Linked DNA regions of Caenorhabditis elegans. The protein of the gene in region 3 interacts with the protein of the main gene of each other region in a pairwise test. Each region holds a gene or a part of one and is shown on either strand. Other genes may lie near its edges.

Region 1 (4,176 bases), on a different chromosome or scaffold from region 3:
TTTCCGGTGCGCTGTGTGTTCGAAAAGTGCGTCAGCACCGTTGTTGAGCTAATATTTTTCGAATTTATTTTTTCTTTTCTTTATTTTATTTTCTTCTCTATATACGTTTGTAATTTTAAATCATAATTTATCAATTAAAAATACCGTTTAAAAAAATTCTAAATCAATAAGATTTTGTCAGCTTAATTTATTTCATTCGTAATCGATAATTTCATTCAAAATTTCGGAATTATTTCAGACTCACCACAACTCAACACAGAGAAATGTCGGTATGTTTTAAAAATACAATGAATAAGTTATTTATAATTGTTGTATTATTTTAGAAAGACGAAGGAAAACGAAAGAAGGAGTCTGTCGTTGATCTCACCAGATTTCTCGACAAAGAGATTCGCGTCAAGTTCCAAGGAGGACGTGAAGGTTGGTTTTTTTTTTGCACAATGATGTGCACTAGCAATAAGATTCCGTCATTAAACTATTTAAACAATATGAAAGCGTCCAACATACACAAGCTGTACTTCACTCCATAAAAATGTATAAATTTCAGCAAGTGGCGTGCTTCGAGGATTCGATCAGTTGCTCAATATGGTTCTTGATGACTGCCGCGAGTATCTCCGTGATCCACAAAATCCTTCGGTCGTCGGTGATGAGACAAGGTAATTGATAGATTTCCAAAAATCGATTTAAAGCTTGGATTTCAAATTAAATCTAGATTTTCGATTTTATCTTATCTTTTATCTTAAGACAACTGGGTCTTATTGTGGCTCGCGGAACAGCAATTACAGTAGTTAGCCCAGCAGATGGACTCGAGCAAATCGCCAATCCATTCGCAACCCAGGAAGAAGAATAATCGTTGATATCATCATCATCTCTTATTATTATTATATATGTATGTGATCTCCTTGTGAATGAACATTCTCCAGATAAAAACGACGAAAAAGTTGTTATTACATACAAAACATTTGATACATTGAATTTGGAAAAGTAACGATGGAACAAGATGTAATAATTTTGAATTGAATCCGTCTAGGCAGTCAGAAAGTCCATAGCGGTAAATTTCAATGTTCAGGGCAGTAAGGAAAATAGTCCCTATGGGCTTTAGAGACTAGCCAAGTACACAGAATCGTAAACGGTTTAAATTTTGTTGAAAGAGGATCAGTTGTGAAAAGAAGACATGAAGAAATTCAAGAAACGGGCTGGAAAATGCGGAGAAAGAGTTATGAGGGAACACATAAAGACTACACGAAAACGTAAGCGAATTTGGGTTTCTTTTTTTTCGTTTGTAAAACAAATTTCAGCTGGAAGTTTTGAGGTGGGGAATTGCGAGGGGCGAAATTAGCAAAGGCAACTAGAAAAATGGTTGGCGCCTGAGTATGATGGGTTTTCAGGTATTTACATTTAAAAATACAACATTTTACAGTGAGGATTGCATTGGGCAATCAGTGGTGTTGGTGGAAATTTAAAAATTGATTAGAATTGTGATGGAAAACGGCTCTTGATGTGTTATCCAAATGCTGGTTGAGACGTGTAAACCATATACACAAAGCCATCTGGATCACGCTCTTGACTGTACAAATTGGACATGCTCATAGAATTTGACACCATTGAGCGTTCATTGACGAGCAGGAAGAATGCTTGTTGTGGATGAAGTTGGAGGCTGAAAAGCAAACGGATGATTTTGAAAAAACAACTCAGTTGAATAGCTCACCGTCGTCTAACAATTGACATGAGCTCGGCAACGGTTATATGCTCGGGTACTAGGAATTTGCAGCGATCCATAAGTGGTAAACTGCGTTCTCCATCAAATCTTTCGATAATTACCGGAACCTTGTTCGGTTGTTGGCTGCGGATTTCTTCCACATCTTTCTGACGCTCATCTGAAATCGAATAGGTTAAAAAGGTTTTCTTTCGAAAATTTGAAAATAAAAAAGTTGTTCCTCAGTTCTGGATTTCTCTTTTCCACTCGTAAAATTCATATTTCTATTTAAAGATTGGCGTACGTTCAGTTTTGGTTGTTATCTTGAATGGTGGGCAATATTTTGAACTCTAGAATATCAATATTGATCCAAATTTTCCTATAATCCTATTTCCCTTGCACCTGCCCTATTGATCTTTGTTTCTCAGGTCCATCTATCTCTTTCTTTCATACAACGAAGAGCACCCAATTAATACGCAATGTTCCATGGGTGCTGCTCCACTGACATAGTCACTCATTCACACAAGATCAGCTGATTTTCACATGTCTCACTTGCATATTGTCTCTTGTTTCCTCATGCTCTCTCGCTGAAACGCATGACGCGGGGTGTCTGTCCTCTGCGTCTCTGACCTTTTACAATGGACGGGTGAAGGAAAAAAAAGTGGGAATGATTGGGAATGAATTGGTTGGGATGAAAACCAGATGTTTGATGTTAAAGTAAAATTAAAGTGAGACTTGAAGCTCTATTTTTATTTTGATGACAATTGTTTGATTAGTAAATGAATTTTAAAAAACTTACGGAATGGCCTTCTTTCCTTGAACGATGGAACGATTCCGGAAATGTAAGATCCTCCCCGATTTCCGCTCATCGCTGTTTGTGTGTAACTTTGAAGCGTGGCTAGCATAAACGCTTCTTCACTTTTTCGTGCTGAGACCCGATTTTCGATCTGCAAACTTGAAAAATGGTAACTGGTATTTGAAAAGTTGAGAAAACTGATTTTAGAAGAGAAATTAGAGTGTGAGATGCTAAAGGACACTGTATGTTTTTGTGAGAATTTTTTTATCAAGAAGCGAAAAGACAGGTGAAAGGGAATGGGACAGAGGGAAAAATCGAGACAGAGGCAGTAGGCAGCACACACGCTCTTTTGCTGTATGTCTCTTTGTCCTCTGTGTCTCTTCATTGATGCTACTCTCTTTTCTCACACCACAAGATCGACTGAGCGTCGAGGACACATGACCGCGAGACGGAGAGACGATGAGAAGAGAAGAATCATGTGATGAAGGAATAGATGGGGAAAAGAAAGAATAGAGTTAGAGAAGATGAGAGTGTGTATTATGACCCTTCTCCCAGCTAATACAGAAGTTCGAAGCAGTGTCAGACAGATGAAATGATAGCGAAATTTGAAACGATGAGTGGCAACGAATTAAATAAATATGACAGCGAGACTTGTTGGCGACACTAAGAAAGTTATAGGAGAAAACGTTTTAATTGAATACTTCCTAGAAAACTTCTCAACTAATGTTCTAGTGTGAAAATGCTTGGTTTTATGAATGAAAATTTCTAATATTAAAATGGGCCGTTTAAATTAACGGAAAACTAAAGATTTTATCTATACCAGCCAACTCTTTTATATCGGTCTACGTAAAAAAAGTGCTTGTACTTTGAAAATAGTGGCAGGGAGAGATAAAGGGCAGGGGAACCAGATGATCTCTAGAACTTCCAGTCTGAATCTACTACTCCCAATCAGAACAACTGACGTTTTTTTCTGCAAACTTTTTTCTCGGAACTTTAGATCTTTGACGCGATTTTCGAAAAAGGGAGAAGTGATGAAATATGATCAAGATTTCACAGCAAAAATTGGCAATCTGCGATATTTTTTTGACATTTTAAGGGTTTCCTTAGATTTTCCGTTGTTGAAAATGCGGGTATCTAAATAATTTCGAAAGAAGTTTTGAGATGAGGACGAAACTATGGAAAGAGCAAAACAATAAGTGATGAGGGGAAAGAAAGAAAAGTGAAAAATCGATGTACGAGTAAACAGACTCTCATGACTAGTGAACTCAATTATGTTTACGTCTCAAAATCGATATGTTACTGCGCACGCCGTGTGCATTTGTCTGCGTCTCGTTTATTTTCTTTTCTTTAATAGCATTTTCCGCGTACGAACTTCAAAGATGAAGAAATTTCTTGTGAAATCGAGTGGAATGTCGATATTTATATGGTTAATATTTAGATAAAAGATTATTCAGTTTTTTAAATTAGGTTTTTCGGATATAACTTGAAAAAAAAGAAGGAAAACATGCCAAAATCGAAAAAAAATGCATTTGGTGTTCAAACCATTAATCAGTACTACCGTAACTCAAAGGCGCATTAACGTTTTTTTACTCTGGTCTCGAAGCGAAAGGTGGAATCATGCTCAAAATTAATTTGCAGATCTTTTTTCTTGTTTTCGCTTCAAATGCATGAATAAGTTCTGGAAAAT
Region 2 (7,414 bases), on a different chromosome or scaffold from region 3:
AAGAAAGAAGAAGAAATCCTACTGGCTATGAAGAAAATGGTTATCGCCATGATTTAAAATTATTCAGGTTCATAGAAGATCAATGTGGGATTGGGAAACGGTTTGGGAACAAATAGAAAGATATGTTTGATGGAAATTAAAATCAAAGTTTAAGCTTCTTCATCATTTTTTGCATCCAGTTCAGGATCAAATTTGAGACGAGGCCATCCGGTTCCGTGTTTTTGTTTCAATGAAATTTCGACCTTTCTTTCGCCAATGACAACACGACTTTCCTCGGGAATAACTTCATCCCATAAATCGTAATCGAGATCCACGCTTGCATTTCCAAATCCGTGCTTCATACTCACTCGAACGGTGTGACCATCGGAAACGATGTTTGCGGTTTCGGGTAGAGCACCTCTACAATACACGTTGATGGTGACAAATCCATTGCTCGAAAACCAATCTTCTCGGAATTTGCTGACAATTTCATTCTGAAAAACGCCGATTTTTTTTTGAAGTTTTGAAGTTTTTTCAACTCACATTTCTGAACTTATGTTCGCCTGAAGTGCAGCCCACTTGCTCAAGGAAAGCTCCAAAATTAGAAGTTTTCTTGTTACAACACGACCAATACTTCATTCCTTCGTGGAAAATGGCAGCTCCAGGGTGATGCTGACAGTTTTCCTTGTTTTTCGATCCATCGAATTCAGTAGAACATCCATTGTTTCGACATGGGGCGCCAATTTGAATATCCGCACTTTGAGCAGCTTCAGATATTTCTTTCAGCTTTTTCTCAATAGCTGCGGTTGCTCCAGGCGTCACTTCAACCTGCAATACGTGTTTGTTATAAAAAATTTAATTTAAAAATACAAACATTCAAATTTTGCTCAATTCTCTTTGTCGCATCCTTGCTATCCAATTTTCCAGATTTATTGAGCCCTTTCCAAACAATAACATCTTCTTCTTTCTCTGGTCGAATTTCCTTTACCGCGGCAACTTTTACAATATCGACTGGTTTTTCATTGCTGTGTTTTCCACGCGTACATCCTTTATAATTCATCCATGTACCGAAATCAGTACTTTTCTTATCACAACATGTCCAAATCTTGTATGCATCATGGAAATACGGACCCCCAGGGTGATATGTACAAGCTTCTGAAAAATTAAACTGATTTTTTTTATTTTCCAATTAATCTTACCGTTGTCATTCTCCTTGGGATCGAAAAGGAGACCGCATCCTTTATGATAGCACTGCAGTTTACTTTCGTCAACCATCTAAAAATGCAAAAGCGATTTTTTTTCTGAAGATTTCGGCTTAATAATCCAGTTTTCCCCCAAATGCTCGAGAAAATTCGAGACTCCGCCCATTGCAATGTTGCGGCACACTCCTTCTTTTTTCCAGCACTCTCGCTTGACCAAATAATCAAAGATTTGCACGGACAACAACAAGGTGAATTAAAGAAAGCAAAATTTAAAAATACAAATATTTAATTTTCACCGACGTTTGAGATAGGAATATGGGTGATAAGAAATAAAACCAGACAATAAATTAAACGGGTGGGAGGATGGTTTACAATACAGTCTTGAAAGATTATTTCAAAGGCAATAGATTACTTCTTCTCAGCAGTCTCAGCTTCCTTTTCTTTCTTCTCGTGCTCAGCAATCAGAGCATCGACTTCCTTGGTGGTGAGCTCTTCGAGCACAGTCTTTCCATCACGACGAGTCAAAACAGCCATCTCAACTTTCTCGGAAGCGAGCTTCACATCCAAAGTCTTCCAGAGAACCTTGATAGCCAACTGCTTTGCTTCTTCAAGATTTGGGGATTTGTACTCCTGTTTCAACAAGGTTACGGCAGCCTGGTGGTTGCTTCCGATGCAGGTTGCCTTCCATCCAGTGTAGTTTCCGGAAGGATCAGATTGGTAAAGTTGATATCCGTAGTGCTTATCCCATCCGATATAGAGAAGTGACACTCCGAACGGTCTCTTTCCTCCTGAAAATCATATTAATAGAAATCAAGAGAGAAGTTATCAACAAACCAATCTGCGTGTATCTCTGCTTTTCATTGCAAAGATTCTGGACGAGCTGCTCAACTGGCATTTCCTCTCCGTAACTGTTACGATAGCTGGCAGCCCACCATCTCAAGTGGTTGATGAGGATGTTCGCGTCGGCGGTGATACCAGCGACAGTGCACGAGATGTTGTCCGAAAGACGGTAGACCTTTTCAGTCATGACAGAATCATCCAGCAACTTGTGAACGTTCTTTCTCTCAGCAGCAACGACGATTCCTTCCGATGAGAGAATGCCGAGGCAAGTTCCAGCATGGCTGATAGCCTCCATAGCATATTCGACTTGATACAGTCTTCCCTCCGGAGAGAAGATGGTCGTTCTACTATCGTAACGACGGGCCATTCTCTGAAAATATAAAGATAATCTAGACAAATATGATTTTAAAATATAAACGGCAGAAACCTATAGAAAAATTACATAAAACAAGAAGAATCTCTCAGTCCTCGACAAAAAGGATGACTTGAAAATTTTTTCGCGCATGAGCGCATTTGCATTTTTGTATTTCTCGGCCGTGGCCGAACTTATTTGTTTTCAAGTTGTCAACGTTTATTTTTATTTTTTTATCTAATTTTGTCAAAACATCAATGAAATGGCGTATATTTCTGAAAATGAGCTGAAATTTCTACGACTTCTCGAGCGAACAAAGCGCTTGACAAAAGAGGATATGTCAGCAAACGTTTGGAAAGCAAGTATCACATTTTAAGTTCTGTTTAATTAATTATTTTTCTTATTTCAGGTTTCTGCAGCTACAAAGATTCTCAATAAAATGATTTATACACTTCAAAACGATGAGTGAGTTTTTCAAAATACATTTTTTAATATTTATAGTTTTACTTTTCCAGAACCACAAATGATATTCTCCACGAGTACCGACAGGAAGTCTTGCAACTGAAATTACTCGCTGAAGCTGAAAGCAAGGTTTGTAGATATTTTAGACAAGCAAATTCGATCTTGTAATTTTGCTTTAAAGATACAAATTTTTACATAATTTCTAAACTTAATTTGAATTTGTTTGATTTGTTTCAATTAAAAATTTAATCCTAAAATATTATGCAAATGTTCCGTAGATTTTATGTCCCTCTTTTCAATTTAGATTTAAGTAAAGAAAACAAGTTGAACAGCTTTAAATATTTTGTGAATTTCGCAACTGTTATGAAATTGTCAGTAAGTTTTCCAGTCGTCAGCCGAGGAGCGCCTGAAAGTGATTGAAAAAATTCCACGTGTATTTCCCGATGTCCAAGTAACTGTTGCAGACTCCAAGAATGGTTTTTGAATTATTCAATATTTCATTTTAATGTTTATATTGCAGATAACGAGGCGGAAAGTTACGATTTTGAAAAAGAATCCGCAGCTGGACTCCGAGCTACTCAACGATCCATCTATCGATCAGATCTTCGGAAGCAGTTGCTTTCATCTAATAAACATAGAGCACAAGACACATCTGGTAAAAATTAGTATCCAATGATTGTTCAAAATTCGTCAAATTTTATAGAAGATCAGGAATTCATGAAAAATGAGCTTGTCGAGGAGGAGCTAGCAAATAGTTTGGCCACTATGGCGAGATCATTCAAAACGATGATGTCGGCTGCTGGAGATGTGATTAAAGAAGATACAGAAAGAGCAATATTAATGGCGAAAGAAGTCGATGATAATAAAACAGCTCTCGGGGTAATTTCTTCACTATATAAACTTCAAATAATAGTCTTAAAATTTCCAGATTCAAAGTGAGCGAGTTGAGCGTCACGCCTACAAATGTGGTTATGACTGTTTCAAGGTCATGCTCATTGTTCTGATTTTTATGAGCTTCGTATCAATGGTTCTTATGATGAAAATTTTCAAAAAAGCGAGCACTTAATAGTCGGGACGAATTGCTAGTATTTATGGGTGTAAATATTTCAAATAAAATTATTTAATTATTTGCATTCTTCGAATTTTTTTTCTCGTTGATATTTCCATTGGTCTACAGACCATGTTATACATACTTTTTTTGTTGGTTTTTTTTGGTGTTTTCACAAATTTCAATGCTTTGCTTTTTGGTCTCGGCTTGGTCTTGTGCCAGATTTAGTCTACTTCGGCAAAAACACCACAGATTCTTCTCCTCCGTTAATTATATATATATATATATATATAAGGATTCAGAATGAGCACAACACCTGGAACTCCTCATGGAGTCACTCATAGTCTTATGGAACAAGGATGGTACTGGGCTGATGCTGATAGATCTGCAGTTTCGAAAGCACTTTCTGATCAACCTGATGGATCATTTATTGTGAGAAATGCTAGTACACCTGGAGATTATACACTTTCTGTGAAGTGGGTTTTTCAAAATTAGTATTCAATATTAATAGTCCTTTTTTCAGATTTGCCGCCCAAGTGAAACTTCTCCGAATCGTTGTTAAAGATGGAAAATGCGGATTCAATACAGATTCATTAACTCACGATTCTGTTGTCAGATTAATTGAATTTCATCGAAATATTTCTCTCAATATTTTCAATGATGCACTTGATGTTCGTCTTTTATATCCAGTTTCTGTTCGTCGTAACTCTCAAAATGGAAAACCATTTTTCAAGAAGGGGCAACTTCAGCAGCGTATGATTCTCAGTGCAAAAAATGATCATGGTAAATTATTTTATAACGCAAACGCTAAATTTAAAAATACTGTAATTTCAAACTTTAATTGCTGCGGAATTTCTCTTGTCGTTTCAAGACCTCGTACCATATTTTTATCGCGAAAGTGGCAAAATTTCGCGTCTGAGTGATTGAAAAAAATAAAAATTAGTAAATTTAATGCTTTTTTTAGATTGGAGAGAACGCTTGGAAATGGAAAATTTGAGAGCAGTACATTTGGCATTTGAGAGAGGAGCCAAGCTATATGATTCAGCTCATCAAGAAATGGAACGAGCTGAAAGTCTCTATCATGCTTTGAATCAATCAGTTCGGGACAATGAGATTAAACTTGGAAAACTGAATAATTTGTTAGAAGCTGAAACAGACGTCGTTACACAAATACAGGGATCGCAGACAACAAGTGAAATGCTCAAAGGAGCATTTGCAAATAATAAGACAGTAAGCGTTTTTTGAAGAAAAAAAACATCCAAAACCAAAAAAAAACAATTCTAAAGCAAAAAAAAGAAGTTCAATTTAAAATTGTTATTTAGCCAAAACTCAATATTTTCAAAGCTGGATTATTAATTTTTGCTCAATTTTTTTCTCGGTTTTTTAAAAATGATTTTAGAGCAAATCCTCAATTTTTAACCATTATAGTTTTGAATTTTATCTTTTTTATTTTGCAGTTTGTGGAAGAAAGTATTCGACGAATAAACACTGAACTGACGTCATCAAAGGATAAGAAAAAGACGCTCTCCGGAATTTTGGATGAAATCGCGATGAAAAGATCCAATTCAAAAACACGACTCTGCAAGCTTATGGAACTTCGTAGTGCAGTCTATGATAAAATGGAACCAGCACTTTGTTCGAGAATGGCTGCAATGCTTGATGCTGGAGCGGAAATGATAAACAGTGAGCCAACGAAAGTCACTCAACTTCTTGTCGATATGGAATTGAAGTGGACACCGGCACAATATTTGATGTGTGGAACTTCTAAGGAAAATGCTGCGAATGCTCTGATTCATGCTCGCTATCGGATCGCTCAACTTGACAAGGCTGTTGGATTGAAAAGAGAGCCACAAGATGGTATTTTCTTGATTCGAGGATCCTCTTCTCATGTTAGTTTATGATTTTATCAGAAGAATAACTTTTCATCCTCATTCACGCTAATTTTTGAATTGAATTGAATATTTTTCAGGGTGATAAGCTCGTATTGAGTGTACTTCACGGAGAACGTGTCTCACATTGTCTAATCGAACAAAACGAAGAAGGATGGGGATTCGAGCACAGCAATGTCTACCTGACAACTATAAGTGACTTCGTTCGCTATTACTCTCACTTCAGTCTTGAAACCCACGCGGATGCTATCAAAACTCCACTTCGTACGCCCGCATTTGACGCTGTCACAAGTGATACTTCAAAACCTCTTCGTAACGGACCCGGACAAGTTTTTACGGCTTTGCCAATATCCAGGAAATATATGGAGAAGGCTCTTCTCACTGATGATCCCACTAAGCCACCTGAATCACCGGAACCAAGACCGGATTCATGGGATTCTCCATCTCCGGATACTCCTTCATCATCTGATTCCCGATTGGTTCATCCAACTACTCTTCCTAAATCCATCCCGGAATAGTTATATATTTAAATCAATTACTTACATATACTCGGTTCAATTACATCCACTTGTCCCCCATCCGATCTGATAGTAAACCCACAGTTCTCTGATCACTTTCTTCTAAGTTACTTACGTTTTATTTGTGTCTTAAATGTATTTATTATCAGTATTTATATGAATTGTCAAATTGTACATTTATTGATATAAATTCAAATCCGTCGGCGGTTCATCCGCGTATTAAATCGCACAACATTCTCCTCCTGTTTAACAGTAATATGACCTTTCGTTTGGTTTTTCATCACATGTAACAGACTGAGAAGAAACGAGACTGTCACCAAAGCGCAGACAACCTGAAATTGATTTTCTTTCGCGCTCCACGGCAATTTGAAAACGCTCCGCCCCCAAACCATGGGTCTCGTTAGGTATTTGGAGGCGAATCCGTACATTCAAATGTTTTTATTTTCATTTTTGCTTATTTCGCCAAAGTGGCGGAATTAAGTCAAAAAGTTTGAATTTACGGTTTTGCCGACAAATATCTAACGAGACCCATGGTTTGGGGGCGGGCGTTGTCAATTGCCGTGGAGCGCGTTTTCACATTTTGCATAACATACCGTTGCCAGCCACCAGGCCGTATTATTCCATCGAATCGAACTGTACAACATGGTCAGTGTATTGATTGTGAACAAAAATGAGAATGATGAAATGAAGACGCTTTCCTGTAGAAAACTCGAAAAAAATAAATAATTCAATATATTCTTACCCAAAAAACCCATTCATCTGGTTCAGTCTCATTAATATTAAAAACATCGCACAACAAAAATACAGATGATCCGATTATTGCGAAGACGCATGTCAAAAGAGCAGCATATGTTGGAGCAAACTGTGAGCCAACAAGTCCAATGAGCACAAGGGATACGAAGCTTCCAAACTAGAATTCCATGCTAATTTTAAGTTTTTGGTTTCTTGCACAAAACATATATATATATATATTAAAAATACGTTCATTACTAAACTAAAACTATTCAACAACAACAGATAAAAAGTACTTGAAATAACTCACAATTTGAAAAATCTGTAGAGCAGAGGAATACTTTGCAAATTTCCAGACCTCAAATTTAGGTTTTGGAAATGCAGATTTTCTG
Region 3 (10,635 bases):
AACCTGCTCATTAATCTAGTATAAAGAGGAGGACAGTAATTGAGTCAGAACATTTCTTAATGATGAGGAAGTTTATATTATCTATTTTGATGGTAACTCAACAAGTTATGTTGACCATATAGGACAGTAGGCTGAATTCTGTAACCACCCACCAATCAATAAATATTTTCAGAGTATCTTCATACAATTTGGCTTGTGGATTTGAATCGTCTTCGAACATGATGTCTGTTAGATTCAAGACAAATTATGATCTTACCGATAAAGGATGGTTGGCGACGTGGAAGGCAATGAAGAATATGCCAGTTATAAGTCAAAGTGGATCAAATGGGGCAATGATTTCACCCAATTATCCATTAACCTATGATTCATACGATGAACAAGTCTATCAAATAAGTGTTGCCTGGGGAATGCAGGTCAATTATCAATTGATGTATTCCGAACGCAGAACAAAAATGATTATTTAAATATTTATAACAGCACTACACAGTCGAATAGTACTCTTGTAACCACGTAAGTTTTTACTTTTTAATAAATGACGGGTTGGTACGACCATCTGAAGACGTGCCTGTCTACTATAAAAGTTTCAATTTTCCTCATTAATAATATTTCTAAATGTGTTTTTAAAAAACTATAGATACAACAACGACGTGACTTACATTTCTGAACTAATTGAACTTTTCCAAAATTGTTGACTAAAAGAATTGCTATCAATGTTTGAAAATAGTTTAATCACTTTTTATTGCTCCCTCTCGAGTTTATCGACCCTTCACCATTTTTAAATTTTGAAAATATTAGACTATGAATACAATAGCACGGAGCAAAACCAAACTTCACAATTTTCTCGTTAAAAATAGTTTAAATATACCAATCAATATTCCACTCATTCAGATTATCCGGACAATCGGTAGCTCCATTCAACTACATTTCTCCAAGAAGCTACATGTCAATGAAATTTGTATCTGATGGATCACTTCAATACACTGGATGGCATGCATTTTGGAGCATTTGCTAGTTGAAATTCCCTAACATTAAATTCGATTCAATTTGATCGAAATACGACTAGTGATCAGTTACATTTGTAGTGAAAATGTTTTACAGAATTTTTCATTGACGCACACAGTGTGCATACAATAAATATCAATCAAAACAAATTTGAATCGTTTGAAAAACTTTGAGTAATACATTTTCTTTCTTCGAGTTTACTAAAATTTTAGGTCAGCTTCTCATTACCAGAAGCTAGGGTATTTATACTTTTTCTGACAACATCTACAATATTTGTCCTACCATAATTCAAAACTCTCAAAAGTATTATGACGTCATCTATTTTCATGTACAAAACTTGTAAATGTATATGTTTTTCTGTTTTAACAACTTCTACGTCTTCTCGTTCGTCCAGAAGTTTCTCCGATTTCTGATCTTGGAATGTTTTTGTCGTCGATTTATGTCGTAAAGAGCATCGTCATCAAATATCCAATTACTAATAATATGCCCTTTTCTTTCGGATCATGAACCAAAATTGGAGAAAAAAAATGTAGTAGGGGGTGTGTGACTATCATCTGTTTATGTCGGTGTCAAATTTCGTTCATTTTTTCATGTTTTAAGTTTTTGATTCCGTGACAAATCCGACAAATTCCGAACAAAAAATCAAACTTCCAAACGTGGAAAATAAGGAACTGATCATATTTCAGACTGGGAAACTTTGTTCCATCAAATTGGTCAGAGAGAGATCCAATTACCAAAAACGTGGAAAGGAACTTTCTATGAACTTTGGCATAAGATTATGATTTTCTGAAATAGAAAAAAATGTTGTGTCAATTTGGAAAGCCGAAATGTTGTCTTTACGATTTTTATTGTTTAATTTTGTTTTAATTTTCGAAAGTCACAATTTTTGAAAATTTGGCAATTTTCCAAAAATTCCGCTGAATTCTTTGAAAAATCTTTGCAGCAAATTGTCGTCTTGGGTCCTCGCACGAACAAAACTTCTCACCTACCGTAACCCTGCTGCTTTTGCATCCTGGGTACGGTAGTTTGAAAAAACTTTGTTCGTGTCAGGACCTTGTTTCGTAATATGAAGACTCTTATCAAAAATAAAATTTGATAACCTTATTACTAAATTATGAAACTCAAGTTTCAGAAAAAATTTCCAATTTTTAAACATAAATTTCAAAAAAAAATTCCTGATCTGTATGTCTGTTAGTCTAGATGTCGGGAATTCTTCTTTAAAAGTATATCCCCATTTCCTTATCCTCCAGACAACTTCTTCTCAAGTTTCTCCACCCTCTGAATCTCGTGATTCCATTAAAACTCGGCGCCGCCCATTTCCACTTTTCCAGAATGCTTCCAAAATCAGAGCTCCACCCTCGGTTTGTCCTTGGATTTAATACATTTTATTTGCCCGTTCATTTGGACTTTATCACAATTTCCAGCACTTCTAACAATGTCACTGCATTTCTCCACTATTCAAAAAACAATTCTTCTAATCTCATTCTTGCTCCTCGTAACATTGGCTCCCAGAACAAGTGCAGCTTTTCCATTCCAAATTTGTGTCAAAAAAATGGAAAAAATGTGCAGAATCATCAATCCAGAGCAGTGTGCACAAGTAAATAAAATCACTGAGATTGGTAAGTTGTTGAGAAAATAATTTTTTAAAAGTTCCTATTCAAAATGAAATTTTCAGGAGCATTGACAGACTGTTGCACCGGACTGTGCTCCTGGGAAGAAATCCGGATCTCCTGCTGCTCCGTTTTATAATATATAATTCGTCGTTTTGCCTTTTCATTGAATTATTTTGAATTTTGTAAAATGGAATAAATGGACAGATTTGTATACAAGAGAATGTTACACGTACAATAAAAGTGAGTGCGCTGGAATGAGAAAAAAGTAAAAGGGGACTAGAAGACATGTGATGTGACAAGTTGTTACAAGGATAAAGGCACATAAAATCAGTAAAAAATCTATACAAAAATACGTCTTATAGATACAAAAATTAGTACATTTCAGGTACTAGGTACCGTACTTCCTTTCAATTTCTGTTTCCTCCTTGAGAATCATTATGGCAGTAGAGATGTGCCAATCGACCATCCGGATACCGGACAAATGCGCTTACAGCGATTTTCTTCTCACAAACAACACATTCACTTGAGAAATTGACGATGATTTTAGTAGATTGCGCCTTGTTTTTGCGCTCCAGCTTCTTTGACATTGCACATTGGGACACAGATTTTTCCATTTTTCGCTGAAAATTTTCTAGATATAAAGCTTAAAGATTGGAGGTTTTGTAAACAATTTTATCTACGTAGAGTATACGCAACAGTTTGATCATTGAAAGTGTGTTTAATTCTGTAAACATCCTAAATTCAACCGGAAATTCGATCAGAGTCCAAGATATTGCTTATTGTAATTTCACAAAATTTGACATGCCTGCTTAAAGGCGCATAGTCTTTTTCAAATGGGTCTCTACGCGCAAAAAAGTTTAATGTAGTCTTTTTTTTTCGGCTGCTCTCTCGCCGATTTCCTTTTTTAAAAAGATAAATTATATGTTTACGTTTCATTTTCTGATAAAAAATTATTAAAATCAATTTTTAAAGTGAAAAATATGTTTTCCAATTTAAAATGCGCATTTTTTCTGTTTGTAGGCCTTAAAAAAATATTAAGAAAAAATTATGAAAAAGCTCAGGGAAAATAAAAGATAACGCAGCTGCAAAAAAGACTACCATAAACTTTATTGCGCGCCAAGACCCATCTGAATACATTCGTGCGCTTTCAAGAAGGCATGTCAAAACCTTGGACAATTATAATAGAAAAGAAAATAATGAACGCATCTCTGAAACTTACAGTGCTCGCTTGTCGTCCGGTAGTTTGAATCACCGCGTTAATTGCCGAGAACACGACTCTGAGCGGAGTGGTGGCTGGAAGCATATTCAATGCTCCAACTGTATCGATTTTATCTGCATGTTTTGCCAGAATCTTGATTGCTGTATTGACATCTGGTTGATACGATGATGTAGAGTTGACTAACGTTGATGCTTCAGAAACATCATCACGATATGATCCGAATGGAGTCGAATCGGCGTGATAAGGAATCGAGTGCAGTTGTTGCTGATTTGGATGTACCAGAGTTCGGAAGAGCATCAGATACACCTGTGAATTGGTCTCATCGTGTGCATTGTAGTAGAGTCTACAGTACTCCTCTGCTGCAGGCACATTCTTCAGTGTATTCACATATATAGCAAGCGCCTGCTCGTGTTGTTTCAGTCGTCCAAGAATCAGAGCTCTTTCCTCGTAAAATGCATGTGGTGCTAGTTGAAGAAGCACTGTTTGTGGACTGTATGAATGGGAAACTTCGAGAAATTTCAAAAGTCGTTTTCGGTAGAGGCCCAGCTCGCCATCCTCGTCTCCCGCGCGAGTGATATTCTCATCTGAAAATGCTTTTAGAGGTTGTATTTTTTTTTTGTTGTGCTATGAATCAACATACCGTCTGGGAAAGCGTGTACATAATCCTTAAACAAAGTGTTGACTCGTGCCACATAGAATTCCAAAAGTGTCTCGTGAAAATATGAAGAAGGTTCTTCCCATTTGAAAATCACGTGCTCCAAGTACGGAATCAGTGCATCCGGGCATTCGGATTTCAAAAATTCCACGACGGCTTTTCGATTTAAATTTCTAGCCATTTCTGTTTCGTCACTAGTGAATATTTGAACTCCGGCTTCCAAATTTTTGGCTAGTACCCATTTTGCGTACTTTAGAATTAGTGGCAAATTGCTATTTCCAAGACTTTGAAGATATTCGACAATTTGTTGAATAGCATCATCGAAAAATGGATCAGCATCCGGGCGGCTAGATTGATCGATAAACAAATCGAGAGCCATTTCATGCTTTTTGCGGGTTTCGTAAAGAATGAATAAAGATCGGAGACGTCCTTCAGATTCGAGGATCTTCTTTGCATCCTCAAATGTGCACGCGTTGCTTTGAAGACGAATTAGAGAATCCACAAGCATTGGTTTCGTCTGAAATTTTAATTTGTTTTAATTTTCCATAATTATTCGAAAAACCTTAATATAACACTTTAGAAGTGTTGTATCTACAACTCTCAATGTCAACAAGAGCTTTGCCTTCTCATCTTCATCAGTTTTCTTTGCCGCTCCCGATGAGTACAAACGATTGTATAATTCAATATGCTTCGCGTGTTCAGTTCGAATTTCAGATAGATAACTACCGAGAGCCAAAAGAGCACGCATTCTGTCGTTAGCAGGCATATCACTGACAACTCCGGTCATTGATTGAAATCCATCTGGAAGAAGCTCGGGAAACATTCGAATAATTGAGAGCACTTCTGAAATATCTCAAAAAAAATTTTAATTTTCTTATGTGAAATGAAGCACTAACCGGTTTTAATTTCTCCAAATAATGCGAATGACTCGTCAAACTTCTTCTGATTGAATAAATTCAATGCAGCCTTCTTTTTAATTTCTAATTTCTGTTCTTCTGCAAATAAATTCGAATTTTCAGCCAATTGAATTGCTAGCTCGAAATGACGTTCCTGTATCAAATGAGACACGTTTTTTCGAAGATTTTGTGAAGTATCAAGAATCCAAATATCGGAAAGAGCAGCGACGAACACTTGTCCACGAGCACCACTGCAGAGTGTCATAGCCTTCGGGAGGGACATTGTCTGTACAAGTTGACCATCGAAAATTGAACGAACTTCGACGCGGCCTTTTGAGAGCATTCCAACCAAGTAAGGTGAATCGTATACTGGAAATTTATAGGTAACTAATTAAATAATTTAATTCCACAATAAAGTTACCGATTTGCATGGGAACTTCGCTGAACTTGTACTCGTCACTTAATACATTTGCCGGACGTTGTCCCCAAATATCAGTGGTTACAACTATTTCATTCCTCACAAATGCAACTCTTCTTCGATCGATCATTGGCACAATGCCAGGCTGACAGTTGAAATTTAAAAGACGAGTTACAAAACCATTCCATCCTTCCGGAGTTGAACCTTCACTTGGCGAAGTGGTTGTCTTATCTTTTTGCATTGTCATAGAAAAATACTCGTTTCGAACAGAAAAGAATACCATTTCACCAACGCATCTGTAATTTATTCTATCTTTAATTTGTTTCATAAACTTTTGTACCTTATAGATGTTGGAGTATCCAAGAAAACTGGATTATAATCCAATGCAACTTCTATAAATTCTTTGTGGCCATCTTTCTCTCCCCATTTGAATAAATATAACTTCTTTCGTGACGAAACAATTACGTACAGGTCTCCAGATGTCTGAAAACAAAAATATTGAATAGAAAATTCGGAAAGTTTCCAATGAACCTTGGGTGAAAATCTTGCAAAAGTCTGAACAGGCTTCACTTTGTGAATTAATGTTTCAACTTTATACTCTGGATCGCTGAGCTTGTGAGCCATCAATTGACCGTCGGACACGCACAAAAGGAGATCTTCACGTTGGCAAACTTTCAGTTCCATTACTGCTTTCTTGTGAAAGCTTTTGCAGATATTTGTGAGCTCGAATCCACGACGATCTGTAATTTATCAATATTTAGAAATAGATTTCTTGACGATTAAATATTACTAGCTGAAATTGTGTATGCATAGAGATGTCCTGCTCTTCCACCGGCTAACAAGGTTTGATTCGATTCTGAAAGCAATCATGATTGTAAATTCCAGTGATTTGATATTGAAAACCTTGAAATGCAAGACATGTTACTTCTACGGGTAATCGGAGAGCTACTTCGCAAGGCGTGTATGCATCGTACATTTTGCTTTGGTGGGTCGAAGTACCTGAAATGAAATTAAAACTGAAAATTATGACAGTAATATAGAGAAGAATAAATTTTCGCAAATAAATAATGCCGAATAATCAAAACAATTATTTGTGTCTCGAAAAAACAGACTTCAAATTATCGTTCCCGAAGAGGGGGTACGCTTTCGTAAGGGGATTTTTTCGTAAGGAACGCTTTCAGTAGGGCAATGTGCGGCGCGCCTTTTCGCAAGCCCGCCGCACAGTCCTTCGCAATCGATTCGAAATCGATTGAAACCCGTTTTTGTCATCGAAAATTCTGAAAATATCCGTATTTAGCTCGAATAAAACTAATTAATTTCCATTAAAAATCCGTTTTTAATTGAATTCCGTTCGAAATTTCCTGTTGGAAAAATAAATAAATAAATACGAAGAAGCGTGCGGCGCATTGCAAAAAGCCGTGCGGCGCATTGCGAAGGACTGTGCGGCGGGCTTGCGAAAAGGCGCGCCGCACATTGCCCTACTGAAAGCGTTCCTTACGAAAAAATCCCCTTACGAAAACGTACCCCCTCTTCCCGAAGTGCTCGACGAGTAAACGCGCTCCATTGAACACTTTTTTCGCGCGCATTCAAATTTAGTTTTTTCATGCCTCCAATATTTTTGTATGGAAAATTGATCGTTTCGCACTGAATTTGTAAATTTTGGAAGAAAATTTTTAACCAAAAATGCTGAAAAAAAAAATTAAAATTAAATTCTTGAAAAAAAATAAATTTTTTTCACATTCCAAAAATCACAGATAAGACTACAAAATATCATGAGGGCCACTCCTCGGAAAAAGCTGGGAAAAAAGACAATATTCAAGTCGACTTGGAAACATTCGTAGCCTGTTTTTTTTCAGGAATCGAAAATCAGCAGAACTCTACACATCATCAGTGCATTGAGAAGACAATATAATACGTTTATAAATTGGAAAATTTATTATTAATATTATTCACTTTATTATAATTAAACTTAAAAAAAATAAATATTAACAAAGTTATTAAGAGAGCGGACGCATTTTGTGCAGTGGAGGTGGGTCGCCCTTTTCTGCAAAATCCAGGAGTTCGAGACGAAGAAGTGGATGAAGAAGGCGGTGGAGGTGGACTATCTGAAAATTTTCCAATTTAAAAACCTAGGGGAGACTGAATTTTCGGACTTTTACATAAATCTGACTGACCAAGAGAAAAAAATCCGATTTTTGTAGGAAATCCAGGAGTTCGAGATGAAGAAGTTGATGAAGATGTTGGTGGTGATGAAATATCTGAAATGTTTTAATTTAAAAACCTAGGGAAGGCTGACTTTTCGGATTTTTACATAAATCTGACTGACCAAGAAAAAAAAATAGGGGTTTTGGCAGATCCAGGAGCTGGAGACGAAGAAGCTGATGAAGATGGTGGACGTGGTGGACGATCTGAAATGTTTCAATTTAAAAACCTAGGAAAGACTGAATTTTCGGAATTATACATCAATTAAACTGACATAGAGAAAAAATCCGATTTTTGTAGAAAATCCCGTCGTTCCAGGCGAAGAAGTGGATGAAGGTGTTGGTGGTGATGGAATATCTGAAATGTTTCAATTTAAAAACCTAGGAAAGACTGACTTTTCGGAATTATACATCAATTAAACTGACATAGAGAAAAAATCCGATTTTTGTAGAAAATCCCGTCGTTCCAGGCGAAGAAGTGGATGAAGGTATTGGTGGTGATGGAATATCTGAAATGTTTCAATTTAAAAACCTAGGAAAGACTGACTTTTCGGAATTATACATCAATTAAACTGACATAGAGAAAAAATCCGATTTTTGTAGAAAATCCCGTCGTTCCAGGCGAAGAAGTGGATGAAGGTGTTGGTGGTGATGGAATATCTGAAATGCCCCTCTACTGAACCGTCAATTCTTTCAAACAGCAATGTCTACAATCAGAAGCCAGCGAATCGTGATCTATATTCCTCGGTGATGAAGAAGAACCCTGTGCTGAAGAAAGTTGTCGAATCGATTAATCTGGTATCTACTGCTCATTCCTTTGAGAAGAAATCGAATCTAGCTGTTCTGGAAAACCTGCCCGATGCGAAAAACCCGGATCAAGTTAGTTCCGATTTTAATCTGGTTAAATCTTTCTCCCTTGAATTCTCTCTCCCTGTTCCCACTGAAGTTTTTAGAGTTGCTACCAAAAATTCCAAAATCATTTCCCGGCCAACTAAAGTTCGTTTCAATTCTGAATCCCTTCGCGATGAATTTCTTACCGGTTTCTATAAAAATTGGCGCAACTTTTCCTCTATTCCGCAATCTCCTCGACCGATCCGTGCGCGTAGGGACTTGACTCCCCTCGAGCTTGTCGCGCTTCGTGAACTCCGTAAGGAGGCCTACGAAGCGAACCAGGCTGCGGGCTGCATTGCGCACGTTATCCGGGATCTTGAAATTGTGGACCTGATCTATCCTCGTCCTTTTCCGATGAACCCAATTTCAATCCCTCTCGCCGCATAGGGAGACGGCCGCCTGACACTGAATGATTTAACGCCTCTTTCAAATGACATCCCAACACAACAAACATCACAATTAAATACAAAACTTAAACATAACTCAAAGGCGGCTCTCGTCTGTGTTTCAAAGCCCAAGCTGGTTAATTGCATGTAGGCTAATGCTCGTTCCATTGCATCGCTTGAAAAACTTGAATTTGTCCATAAGTTCGTAGCCTCTAATAGTTTAGACATCTTGTTTGTTACCGAAACATTTCTAAGTAATGCTTTTACTGATTTCTCATGCTCTTCACCTCACTATACCTGCATAAGATCTGATCGGCTTGAGTGCCATCCAAAAAATGCGGCGGAGGTACTGCTGTGTTTTTTCATAAAAAATGGGCTCTTACGCCTGTCTCAATTGCACCTTCCTTTTATCTCTCGCATTTTTGTCAAATTCTGGCATTAGACCATAAGCAATCCAAAACTAGATTTATACTGATATACCGCCCCCATCCACTACCGCAAGTAGAACCGCTGAGCTCTTTAAAAATCTAAACCAGCTTCTCGACTGCCCCTCCTATACTTATGTCCTCCTCGGTGATTTCAATTTTGCAAACACCAAGTGGAATTCAAATTTTCTTCCCACGGGCTCTGAGTATTTCTATAATTGGATGAAATTTCATGATCTGGCACAAATGGTAAATTTTCCGACTCGGTTTTCCAAATTAAACAGTGGCACGTTTCTTGATCTCATATTTACAAATAATTCCGGTGTTTTACAAAATTTAAAACCGGGTACTCCATTTATAAACTCAGATCATATTTCCATTTTCTTCTCCTTATCTCTCCCCCAGCCCACTCCTGCTCATTCTGCCCCTCCCAAGTCTTTTATGAATTTCAGAAAATGTGATTTTTTCAACCTCAATGGATACATGGTGTCATACAATTGGCCTAAACAGCTATCATTCTTTGCTCCACCTGATTCTAAGCTTAATCATTTTCTCAACATTTTTAATGAGCTTATCTCTGATTTCACTCCCCAATATCCAACATTAAGAGTTCAAAGTCCAAAAGTTACAGGTAGGAAATTATACAGAAAACTTCGTAAGCATCACCCAGACACTGAATCCTCAGTTTTGAAAAAGAGAGTTAAATCAAGATTAAAATTCCTCAAAAAGAAAAATATGGCTTTTGAAAATAAATTAATTCACTCTAAGAACTCTAAAAGTCTATTCTCTTACATTAGAAATCGTATAAAGCCTTCCAGTTCTCTCACTCATTTCTCTGTAGACAATAATAATGTTGATAAACCGATTGAAATGGCGGAAGTATTAGTTAAAGAGTTTTCAAAAAGTTTTGTTACTCATGATCCACCCTT

Evidence for each region.
Region 1: the proteins of vps-39 (region 3) and lgg-2 interact in a two-hybrid assay, tested with the Caenorhabditis elegans proteins (one study listed by BioGRID).
Region 2: the proteins of vps-39 (region 3) and pas-3 interact in a two-hybrid assay, tested with the Caenorhabditis elegans proteins (one study listed by BioGRID).

What each region holds. Positions count from the first base shown.
Region 1 is NC_003282.8:10,933,264-10,937,439, forward strand, and holds lgg-2 (Protein lgg-2), read right to left. Parts: upstream 2,641-4,176; 5' UTR 2,599-2,640; coding exon 2,493-2,598; intron 1,875-2,492; coding exon 1,706-1,874; intron 1,655-1,705; coding exon 1,501-1,654; 3' UTR 933-1,500; downstream 1-932. Other genes in the region: lsm-7 (U6 snRNA-associated Sm-like protein LSm7), read left to right, coding at 264-269, 324-417, 545-653, 742-847. UniProt on the Caenorhabditis elegans protein: Ubiquitin-like modifier involved in the formation of autophagosomal vacuoles (autophagosomes). When lipidated mediates tethering between adjacent membranes and stimulates membrane fusion. Less effective at promoting membrane fusion than lgg-1.
Region 2 is NC_003279.8:5,103,658-5,111,071, forward strand, and holds pas-3 (Proteasome subunit alpha type-4), read right to left. Parts: upstream 2,392-7,414; 5' UTR 2,389-2,391; coding exon 2,016-2,388; intron 1,970-2,015; coding exon 1,590-1,969; 3' UTR 1,453-1,589; downstream 1-1,452. Other genes in the region: chp-1 (Cysteine and histidine-rich domain-containing protein 1), read right to left, coding at 150-473, 523-807, 854-1,134, 1,179-1,254; use-1 (Vesicle transport protein USE1), read left to right, coding at 2,636-2,731, 2,783-2,838, 2,889-2,964, 3,224-3,311, 3,356-3,490, 3,539-3,714, 3,764-3,901; aap-1 (SH2 domain-containing protein), read left to right, coding at 4,187-4,359, 4,407-4,666, 4,848-5,113, 5,341-5,772, 5,853-6,290; Y110A7A.21 (MARVEL domain-containing protein), read right to left, coding at 6,482-6,622, 6,884-6,988, 7,033-7,200, 7,333-7,411.
Region 3 is NC_003283.11:14,031,571-14,042,205, forward strand, and holds vps-39 (Vacuolar protein sorting-associated protein 39 homolog), read right to left. Parts: upstream 6,803-10,635; 5' UTR 6,780-6,802; coding exon 6,707-6,779; intron 6,660-6,706; coding exon 6,594-6,659; intron 6,544-6,593; coding exon 6,335-6,543; intron 6,287-6,334; coding exon 6,144-6,286; intron 6,100-6,143; coding exon 5,807-6,099; intron 5,755-5,806; coding exon 5,386-5,754; intron 5,342-5,385; coding exon 5,052-5,341; intron 5,007-5,051; coding exon 4,475-5,006; intron 4,428-4,474; coding exon 3,835-4,427; intron 3,236-3,834; coding exon 3,023-3,235; 3' UTR 2,753-3,022; downstream 1-2,752. Other genes in the region: ins-10 (INSulin related), read left to right, coding at 2,438-2,621, 2,678-2,751. UniProt on the Caenorhabditis elegans protein: Plays a role in vesicle-mediated protein trafficking to lysosomal compartments including the endocytic membrane transport and autophagic pathways.